Drosophila melanogaster: one gene and its partner. The main gene of each other region encodes a partner of the protein of the gene in region 2 in a complex. Each region holds a gene or a part of one and is shown on either strand. Other genes may lie near its edges. The genes, in order: trsn and Trax. A codon is read from its position in the direction of its gene.

Region 1 (3,629 bases), on a different chromosome or scaffold from region 2:
TTTTCACACGGCCAACTGCCCGCCAGACTTACTTTCTTGAAATGGTAACCAATTGCAGTCTCCACTTTCAAATCAAAATGCTAGAAAGGGCGAAACAATAAAGAGCGCACAAAGCGGGAAAAAACAATAAGAACAACACGGGAAGGACGACGGACGACGAAGCAGCAAACAAGAAAATGCAAAGACGCGCGCGCAATGTTAACGTTGTAAGCGTTGCGGTGGCAAAAGAGAGACTGAAACTGCGCCTGAGAAGCAGAAGCAAAGGCGAAACGGAAGCAGCGGCCAAAGAAGAGCAGCAACAAATCCACCATATGATCGGGGCAACAACAACAACTGCGGCCCAGTGGTGGTGGCTAAACAAGTTTCAAAAGGGTTAAGCCATCAAACTTCTGCACTTGTCTCTATGTATACTTAGTTATGATTTAATCAAAACGCGCACAGCCATTTTAATTACCTTTAAGTTGCACAAACTTATGTTTTTTTGTTATGGTTCAAAGCACTATTTCGCTTCTGTGTAAACTGATCATTAAAATAAGATGGTGCCTATTAAGATGTAAAGAAATGTGTTCTGAAAAAAAACAAAAACACATTTCAGATTTTTAACACAGGATTACATACATATATCCTGCTACATTTGATTCCTACGAGCATTCCTGATTTAAATAGTAAAATAAAATGATACTCTGTTTAATGAATGTAATATATTTGCTTGTTTAAATGAAACTTTTTCATTTTAATAAACGCCTTATCCTACGTACGAAGTAAACTATTCGGTTGCAGGAACAGCCGGCTCCTCCTGCTGGTCCTTTTCCTTGCTGGACAGACCGCGTATGCTGACATCGTAGACGACCTCCTCGATCTTCTTGACATCATACTTTAAGGCATCGAAGCGCTTTCGCAAGCCATCGTTCTTCAGGTTCAGCAGACGGAAGCCCGTGTTCAGGTCACCAATAAAATGGGAGATATTCAGGGGACGCTCGTAGTCGCCCATGGTGACGGAATTGGTAGCGAATCGGGAGAGCTCCGACGCCAACTGCAGTATGCCCAGTAGATAGTCCTCCACATCCAGATGGAAGCCCTCAGACTGGCTGATCTTCACTGTGGAGTAATTAACTATTATTTCGTATCCAGAGAGCCTTCCAAATCTAGCTTACATCCCAGCATTTCGGCCACTGTTTCGCGGGTGACCAAGAAGCCCGCCTCCAGGTAAATAACCAAGGCAATGATGAAGATCAAACGCTGCGTAATGAAGGTCCAGTGATCGGAGTATCTGGAGAAGGCGGAGCATTCGACACCCACAATAGACACCACGGATTTCACCATCTGACTCACCTGTAGTACTGCCCAGCTGGCACCAGTTCGGCCAATTTCTGGTACTTTTGGGCACACAGCTCAACCTGTTTGCGGGCTAAGCCGCAGGCGGCACTAACTATTGTTCAAGTATAATGTCATATTAGAACAAAACATACAAGCTACCAAATTGTACAGAACTTACTCTGGCTCAAATCGCTATGAATAATCTGCAGTTTAATCTGCGCTTCCTTTGACAAATGCTCGATTTCGCGCACCACAATGCGGATGTTCTAAAAACAATGGTTTAAGATGGTGGTTTTTAGGATATTAACCGTCAACTCACCTCCCTGACTTCCTGTTCATTGTCTATGTACTTTTGGTAGTTGGAGAAGATGTCCAAGTTCACGAAGTTCGACATTTTTGCTTAATGTTTTGCTGCTTTTGTTAGTTGTTTATACCGGCGATAGGGATGGGAGTATAGCCAAGCAATAAGTCTAGCAATGCTATCGATATGTCACATTGTTATCGCTTGCCCAAACCAGTGTTGGTGAACGCCCTTCTTGTCATCTGTAGTTTCATTAAAATTGTTTTGTCCCTCAAGTTCCAATTAGAATCGAACTAGGCTCGTGACAAAATGTCTTATGTGAGTGTGTTTATGCTTAAGAAAGTGGATTAAATGTACTTACTACCGTTTATCCACAGGGACAAGGCTATAACCCGTATGCCCAGCCCGGTGGTGGCTATGCCCCGCCGCCAGGAGCATTTCCGCCGCAGAATGCCCAGGTGTCTCCGCAGGCACAGCAATGGTTCTCCATGGTGGACCGCGACCGATCTGGAAAGATAAACGCTTCCGAGTTGCAGGCGGCCCTGGTGAATGGGCGTGGCGATCACTTCTCGGATAATGCCTGCAAGCTGATGATAAGTAAGCTTAAGCCCTGCCCAAAAAAGATCCCAAAGTTTCCTCTACAGGAACTGTGACGTCAGTAGGTGAACACTAACAAACGTGTATACACTGTATACTATACAGTAGACCCTCTAAAAGACGATCATAAGCTAAACTAGTTTGGTAGGCAATATAGTAACACAAGAACACAAGAACAGGTTGTCGATTTGAATCTTCTATGCGTAGCCTAGCACACCCGCTGTATGCCAAGAACCAATGAAGGGCACATGGGCACATATATTTAGATCATCCTGTGAGCTGATGATAGCTAAGTAAGCTTCAGTTATGAAATACTTTAAAATTCCTTCGATTCCCCTTCCGGAAACTGTGACGTCAGTACTCCCCTAACAGACAGTCAGTATCAATTTAGTTATACTTTCGGCTATAAATGTTTCACTGTATTTATTGCCCCAATTTAGGGTACATGCATATTTGTTTAGATCACCTGGAGCGCCAGACACTTTTCCGTTTGTTTACCCTGCGATTTATGTTGTATTTTTATCGCCTTTTTTAATTTACTCAACAGGCATGTTCGACAACGACGCCAGTGGTACCATCGATATCTATGAGTTCGAGAAGCTCTACAACTACATCAACCAATGGCTGGTAAGGTATTTCTTATATCGAAACTAAGTAGTCTGACTCATTGTATCACTGTTGCAGCAAGTCTTCAAGACCTACGATCAGGACTCCTCTGGACATATCGAGGAACAGGAGCTGACCCAAGGTAAGCTAACACAACAACTGAATCTCCAATTCCTTTATGGCCTTTTACACTAATTACCAAACTTGTTGGCAGCCTTCACCCAGATGGGCTTTCGATTCTCGCCCGAATTCATAAACTTCCTGGTGAAGAAGAGCGACCCCCAGGGCCACAAAGAGGTGTCCGTGGATCAGTTCATAGTGCTCTGCGTGCAGGTGCAGCGTTTCACGGAGGCCTTCAGGCAGCGCGACACCCAGCAGAATGGAACCATCACCATTGGGTTCGAGGACTTCCTCACCGTGGCCATTGGCTGCTCGTATTGAAAGAATGATTCAATGCAACCGCTCCATGGGAATGCATCTCCACAGTCTTGCACACACACACACACACACTACAGCCAACAGTGGATGATCATAAATTTCGCGACTGGTGCATTTTTCTTAAATTTTCAACGGTGTTAGCTTTTTAATATGTAAATGAATCACTCCACAGTCATATTGCAATCTCCTGGTATCAGAATCAAATTTCAAAAGTATTTGTTAACGCAGTTCGACTCAATAATCATAGTACAAAGTCTCTTGCGCCTAATAATAAACTATACACACGTATTTTTAAAAATTAAAAGATATCTGCGTTTTATTTAAAATGTAAACATTGTATATGAAAAGTTCATTATAAAATCATGTCTTA
Region 2 (3,926 bases):
AACATCGTGTGGGAACCTCTCGATTCGTCTTGCGATACAGCCGCGGCAAGTCGTTTACCTGTCGCACATTTTCCGTCTCGCATTCTCCGATCAGCAACTCCACTAAGGTCTTTTGTATGTTGGTCAAATGCGCACCTAGCGTGTCGGCTAGGCAGGACATCGATTTGGCCAAAACGTCGCTAAAGATCTTCGTACACTGTTCAACGGGCACTGATTTAATAATCAATTGCTGAAGCTCTGGCAGATGCGCGTCAAGTTTGCGAATGTCAGCATGGAGGGCAATAAGCAACTGGTTTCGAGTGTAGGGCTTAGAAAAGTTGCTGCCTTTCGATTGAGTAATTGCATCCGTGATCCAGCGCGAAAGACGCAGTACCACCTGCACATTAAGTTTGTAAAATTTCGGAAATACTTCGGGTAGGTAAACTCCCTCGGCCCAGCACCGTGTCATAGCCTCCTTCGCGGCATTAAATGCGGATATTTTGTAGTCACTATCGGTGAGATTATCTTTTAAACTATCCTCCTGGAGCACCGGCTCCAACTGGGCTTCAAATTTACCAGCAATTTCCTAGAAGCATTTCACATTAATCGAAAATTCTACTATATAAACTTATTTACATACTTGAAAGCATATTTGGAAGTAAACCGGAAGATTCCAGCGAGCCTCAAAACTTTTTGTTTGCTTGTGCTGGCGATAGAACGTTACGGCCTGCTCTCCGGAGCAGGTCAATAGCTCCTCTATTTTGCCCAGGAAATCGCGAGTGCACTTGTATTTTACATAGAACACCTCCGAATTGCCAGGCGCAAATATGGAATTCATGTGCAGTTCGAGACGCGTCTCCACATCAGACCAGTAACTATTAACCACGAAGTTAAAGCCCGGAAACTTATCAGAGTAAAGCGTAAGGCGCAGCAAATCGGTCATATGCAGCGATATAAAGTTGAGGATCTTGCTGTAGATGCCAGCTAATCCCTGCGGCGAGTTTTGCAACTGTTGTTCGCCAATGACGCCCGTCATATACGGTGCCACCACATCCTCGCGGAAGGCGCACTCTGCCTGATCACAGGCATTTAGAGTTATGTAGATCCGCAAGCAGCGCTCTAAGGATTCCGGTGCCGAGTTGCGTGCCTGGCTAAGGGCGTCATTGAAGAAGCGTCGCAGATGCTGATGCAATTGCTCTTCTAGCTGTTGGATCTTCCCTTGATGGTCGGGACTTAAGTGCTTGAAACAGTGTTTCTCATGGAACTTCAATTGAATCAGGTCCAGAGCAGCGCGCTCCAGGTCAACGGCCTTAATTGGTTGTTCCCCGCTGAGCTTTCGGTCGATTAGATCCTGAAGCTTGTTAATGGTCTCATACACTTTCTTGAGGCTCTGCAGACCGCGTTTGAACTCGCGAAGCTGACGCTTTTCCTCCAACTGGGCCCGCAGCTCGGTCACGTTCTCATCTATCAAGCCGTGAATGCTCTCGATGTCGCTGCGGAATTGCTCCAATGGCTGTTGAATGGTCTTTATATTCTGGTCCAGTCCCACCAGGTTTGCGCTCAAGTTTACGAAGTCTGCGTAATCCTCGTTGATCAAATCTATCATGGCCGCCCGCAGACCTTTGAGGTAAAGGCCCAGGTTGTCGCGTAGCTGCTCCAGACTGGGCGCATTGCGGTTCTTGTGCAGAAACTCATCCACCGAGAAGTTTGCCTGTTCGAAGTAATTTTAGCAAGGGAACACATATCTGACATGGATTACTGACCTTCATAAACTCATTCTTGTCGAAGCACAGCTTCTCCGCTGTGCTGGTGGAGCCAGCGGTCAAGTGAGCCGACTTTTTGACCGGATCATGCATTGCCTTAGGGCTGGAATTTAATTATTTGTATATTTTTAACAAATTCTTGCCACGAAAGTTTCTCGGGTCTTAGCACCGATATCAGGTGGCGATATTTGTCGGCAACTATCGATATGGTTAATACCTCAATTATCGGACATTTGTTTACAATAAATTTTTTGCCGACGCGATTGAAAATCTAAAAAAATAAAAACAAAAAAAAAAACATATTTAAGCCGTTCAAATAGAATCGCGTAAGATATCAATAATGCCGAAAAACGGAGGTGCTGGTCACAGGAACACTGCTCCCAGGAAGCGCCAAATACCGGCTGCCCAGCTGGATGAAGACAGTCCCATTGTCCAACAATTTCGAATTTATTCTAATGAATTGATCATGAAACACGATCGCCACGAGCGAATTGTCAAGCTGAGCCGTGACATTACCATCGAGTCCAAGCGTATCATCTTCCTGCTGCACTCCATTGACTCGCGTAAGCAGAATAAGGAGAAGGTCCTGGAGGAGGCACGTCAGCGACTGAACAAGCTGATCGCGGTTAACTTTAGGGCTGTGGCCCTGGAACTGCGCGACCAGGATGTCTACCAGTTCCGCAGCTCCTACTCTCCAGGATTGCAGGAGTTTATCGAGGCCTACACCTACATGGAGTACCTGTGCCACGAGGATGCTGAGGGCGAGAACGAAACCAAGAGCGTTTCAGATTGGCAGGCCATTCAGGCGGTGATGCAGTACGTCGAGGAGAGCAGCCAGCCAAAGGAAGAACCAACTGAAGGCGAAGATGTTCAGGCTATAGCTCAGGTTGAGAGCCCAAAGAAGTTCCAGTTTTTCGTAGACCCCACGGAATATATACTTGGACTTTCGGATCTTACTGGTGAACTGATGCGCCGCTGCATAAATTCGCTAGGCAGTGGAGATACAGACACCTGTTTGGACACCTGCAAGGCCCTGCAGCATTTCTACAGCGGGTTGGTTAGTTCTCCCTTAAGAAACTCAATTAACTTCCTATTGTTTTCAGTTACATCAGTCTAAACTGTCAGAGAGCCCGTGAACTATGGCGTAAGATCACTACCATGAAGCAGAGCGTTCTTAAGGCCGAGAATGTTTGCTACAATGTAAAAGTTCGCGGCGGAGAGGCTGCAAAATGGGGCGCCACTTTTGATCAAAAGCCAGCCGATGAAGTTGACGAGGGCTTCTACTAATGGAACTCCATAGACATAAGTTTTCATCAACAGAATATAATATATATATATAAAGCCTATTATTCGGCAAATGGAACGTATCATCTAAGTTAACAGCGAATTTGAATTTATAGTCTAATCATAGTCATCCCCACTTATTGGTTGGCTATCAAACTCCAGCTCATCATCCTCATCTTCGTTTATGTCTGCGCCTGGACGGTAGTCCGCATCCCTGTCATTGTCGCCACCAAAGGGTTCATCCTCCTCATCCGTCCCCGAGTCATCGTCGTTCTGCCGTTGGGCTCGCCGTTGACGCAGACGATTTCGAATGTTCTGCGCGGAATTGACTACAATGGGCTTTAGCCAATTTGAAGCCGAAGTATGCCAAGCCTTCTACTTACAATCCGCAGGATGGGAGTAATCCTGGAAGTGAACTGGGTTACGGCGATAGCATGCGTTACCGAAAGGACAAGCTGGAGTTCCGAGGGGTGGCGCTGGAAAGTTTGGTCGCCGGTAATCCTGATCCCCCGGATGAGCTTCTGCACTACGATGAGCTGGATTTCGCCTGTCATTGGAAAAAGGTATATTTTTAGTTGGTAATATGGGAGTTGGTTAGTGTGAATCACCTGTAGCATCGTATGCCGAAGCGACAAGAAGTCCTAATACTGCTTGAAGATACGGTAGACTCGTCGGCGGCGTCCTGTGCATTGCTATTAGTGGGCTCGGTTTTTACCATCGCAGCTGCAGGTGAGTTTCCATTGTCCGCTGGTTCGGCTTTAATCTTGATCGCAGGAGTAGTGCTTGTGGGCTCATCTGCATTCTCCACTGGCTCAGCTTTTATTTTCATAGGAACTTCAGGATTTGTTTCATCTTTAATGGACGCCACAGGCTCCTCCGATTTTACGCGCTTTCTTAGGC

Evidence for each region.
Region 1: the proteins of Trax (region 2) and trsn are in contact, whole or in part, in a crystal structure (PDB 3RIU), measured with the Drosophila melanogaster proteins. Residues at the interface, in NP_650454.2 of Drosophila melanogaster: Gln33 (codon at 2,179), Phe34 (codon at 2,182), Ile36 (codon at 2,188), Tyr37 (codon at 2,191), Ser38 (codon at 2,194), Glu40 (codon at 2,200), Leu41 (codon at 2,203), Lys44 (codon at 2,212), His45 (codon at 2,215), Leu105 (codon at 2,395), Val110 (codon at 2,410), Tyr111 (codon at 2,413), Gln112 (codon at 2,416), Arg114 (codon at 2,422), Thr145 (codon at 2,515), Lys146 (codon at 2,518), Ser147 (codon at 2,521), Asp150 (codon at 2,530), Trp151 (codon at 2,533), Gln152 (codon at 2,536), Pro195 (codon at 2,665), Gly238 (codon at 2,794), Tyr239 (codon at 2,847), Ser241 (codon at 2,853), Leu242 (codon at 2,856), Asn243 (codon at 2,859); in NP_610591.1 of Drosophila melanogaster: Asp8 (codon at 1,690), Phe10 (codon at 1,684), Asn12 (codon at 1,678), Tyr13 (codon at 1,675), Gln14 (codon at 1,672), Tyr16 (codon at 1,666), Ile17 (codon at 1,663), Gly83 (codon at 1,346), Tyr86 (codon at 1,337), Arg87 (codon at 1,334), Thr116 (codon at 1,185), Arg117 (codon at 1,182), Gln130 (codon at 1,087), Asp137 (codon at 1,066), Val138 (codon at 1,063), Glu139 (codon at 1,060), Tyr141 (codon at 1,054), Leu142 (codon at 1,051), Leu178 (codon at 943), Gly181 (codon at 934), Phe182 (codon at 931), Leu184 (codon at 925), Leu185 (codon at 922), Asn186 (codon at 919).

What each region holds. Positions count from the first base shown.
Region 1 is NT_033778.4:10,478,328-10,481,956, forward strand, and holds trsn (translin), read right to left. Parts: upstream 1,785-3,629; 5' UTR 1,712-1,784; coding exon 1,637-1,711; intron 1,584-1,636; coding exon 1,496-1,583; intron 1,430-1,495; coding exon 1,333-1,429; intron 1,271-1,332; coding exon 1,155-1,270; intron 1,099-1,154; coding exon 767-1,098; 3' UTR 684-766; downstream 1-683. Other genes in the region: Pef (peflin), read left to right, coding at 1,928-1,936, 1,996-2,215, 2,763-2,842, 2,900-2,963, 3,036-3,262.
Region 2 is NT_033777.3:15,359,743-15,363,668, forward strand, and holds Trax (translin associated factor X), read left to right. Parts: upstream 1-1,949; 5' UTR 1,950-2,082; coding exon 2,083-2,795; intron 2,796-2,845; coding exon 2,846-3,029; 3' UTR 3,030-3,108; downstream 3,109-3,926. Other genes in the region: Cog2 (component of oligomeric golgi complex 2), read right to left, coding at 1-565, 620-1,690, 1,743-1,835; CG6171 (uncharacterized protein), read right to left, coding at 3,144-3,355, 3,410-3,573, 3,635-3,926.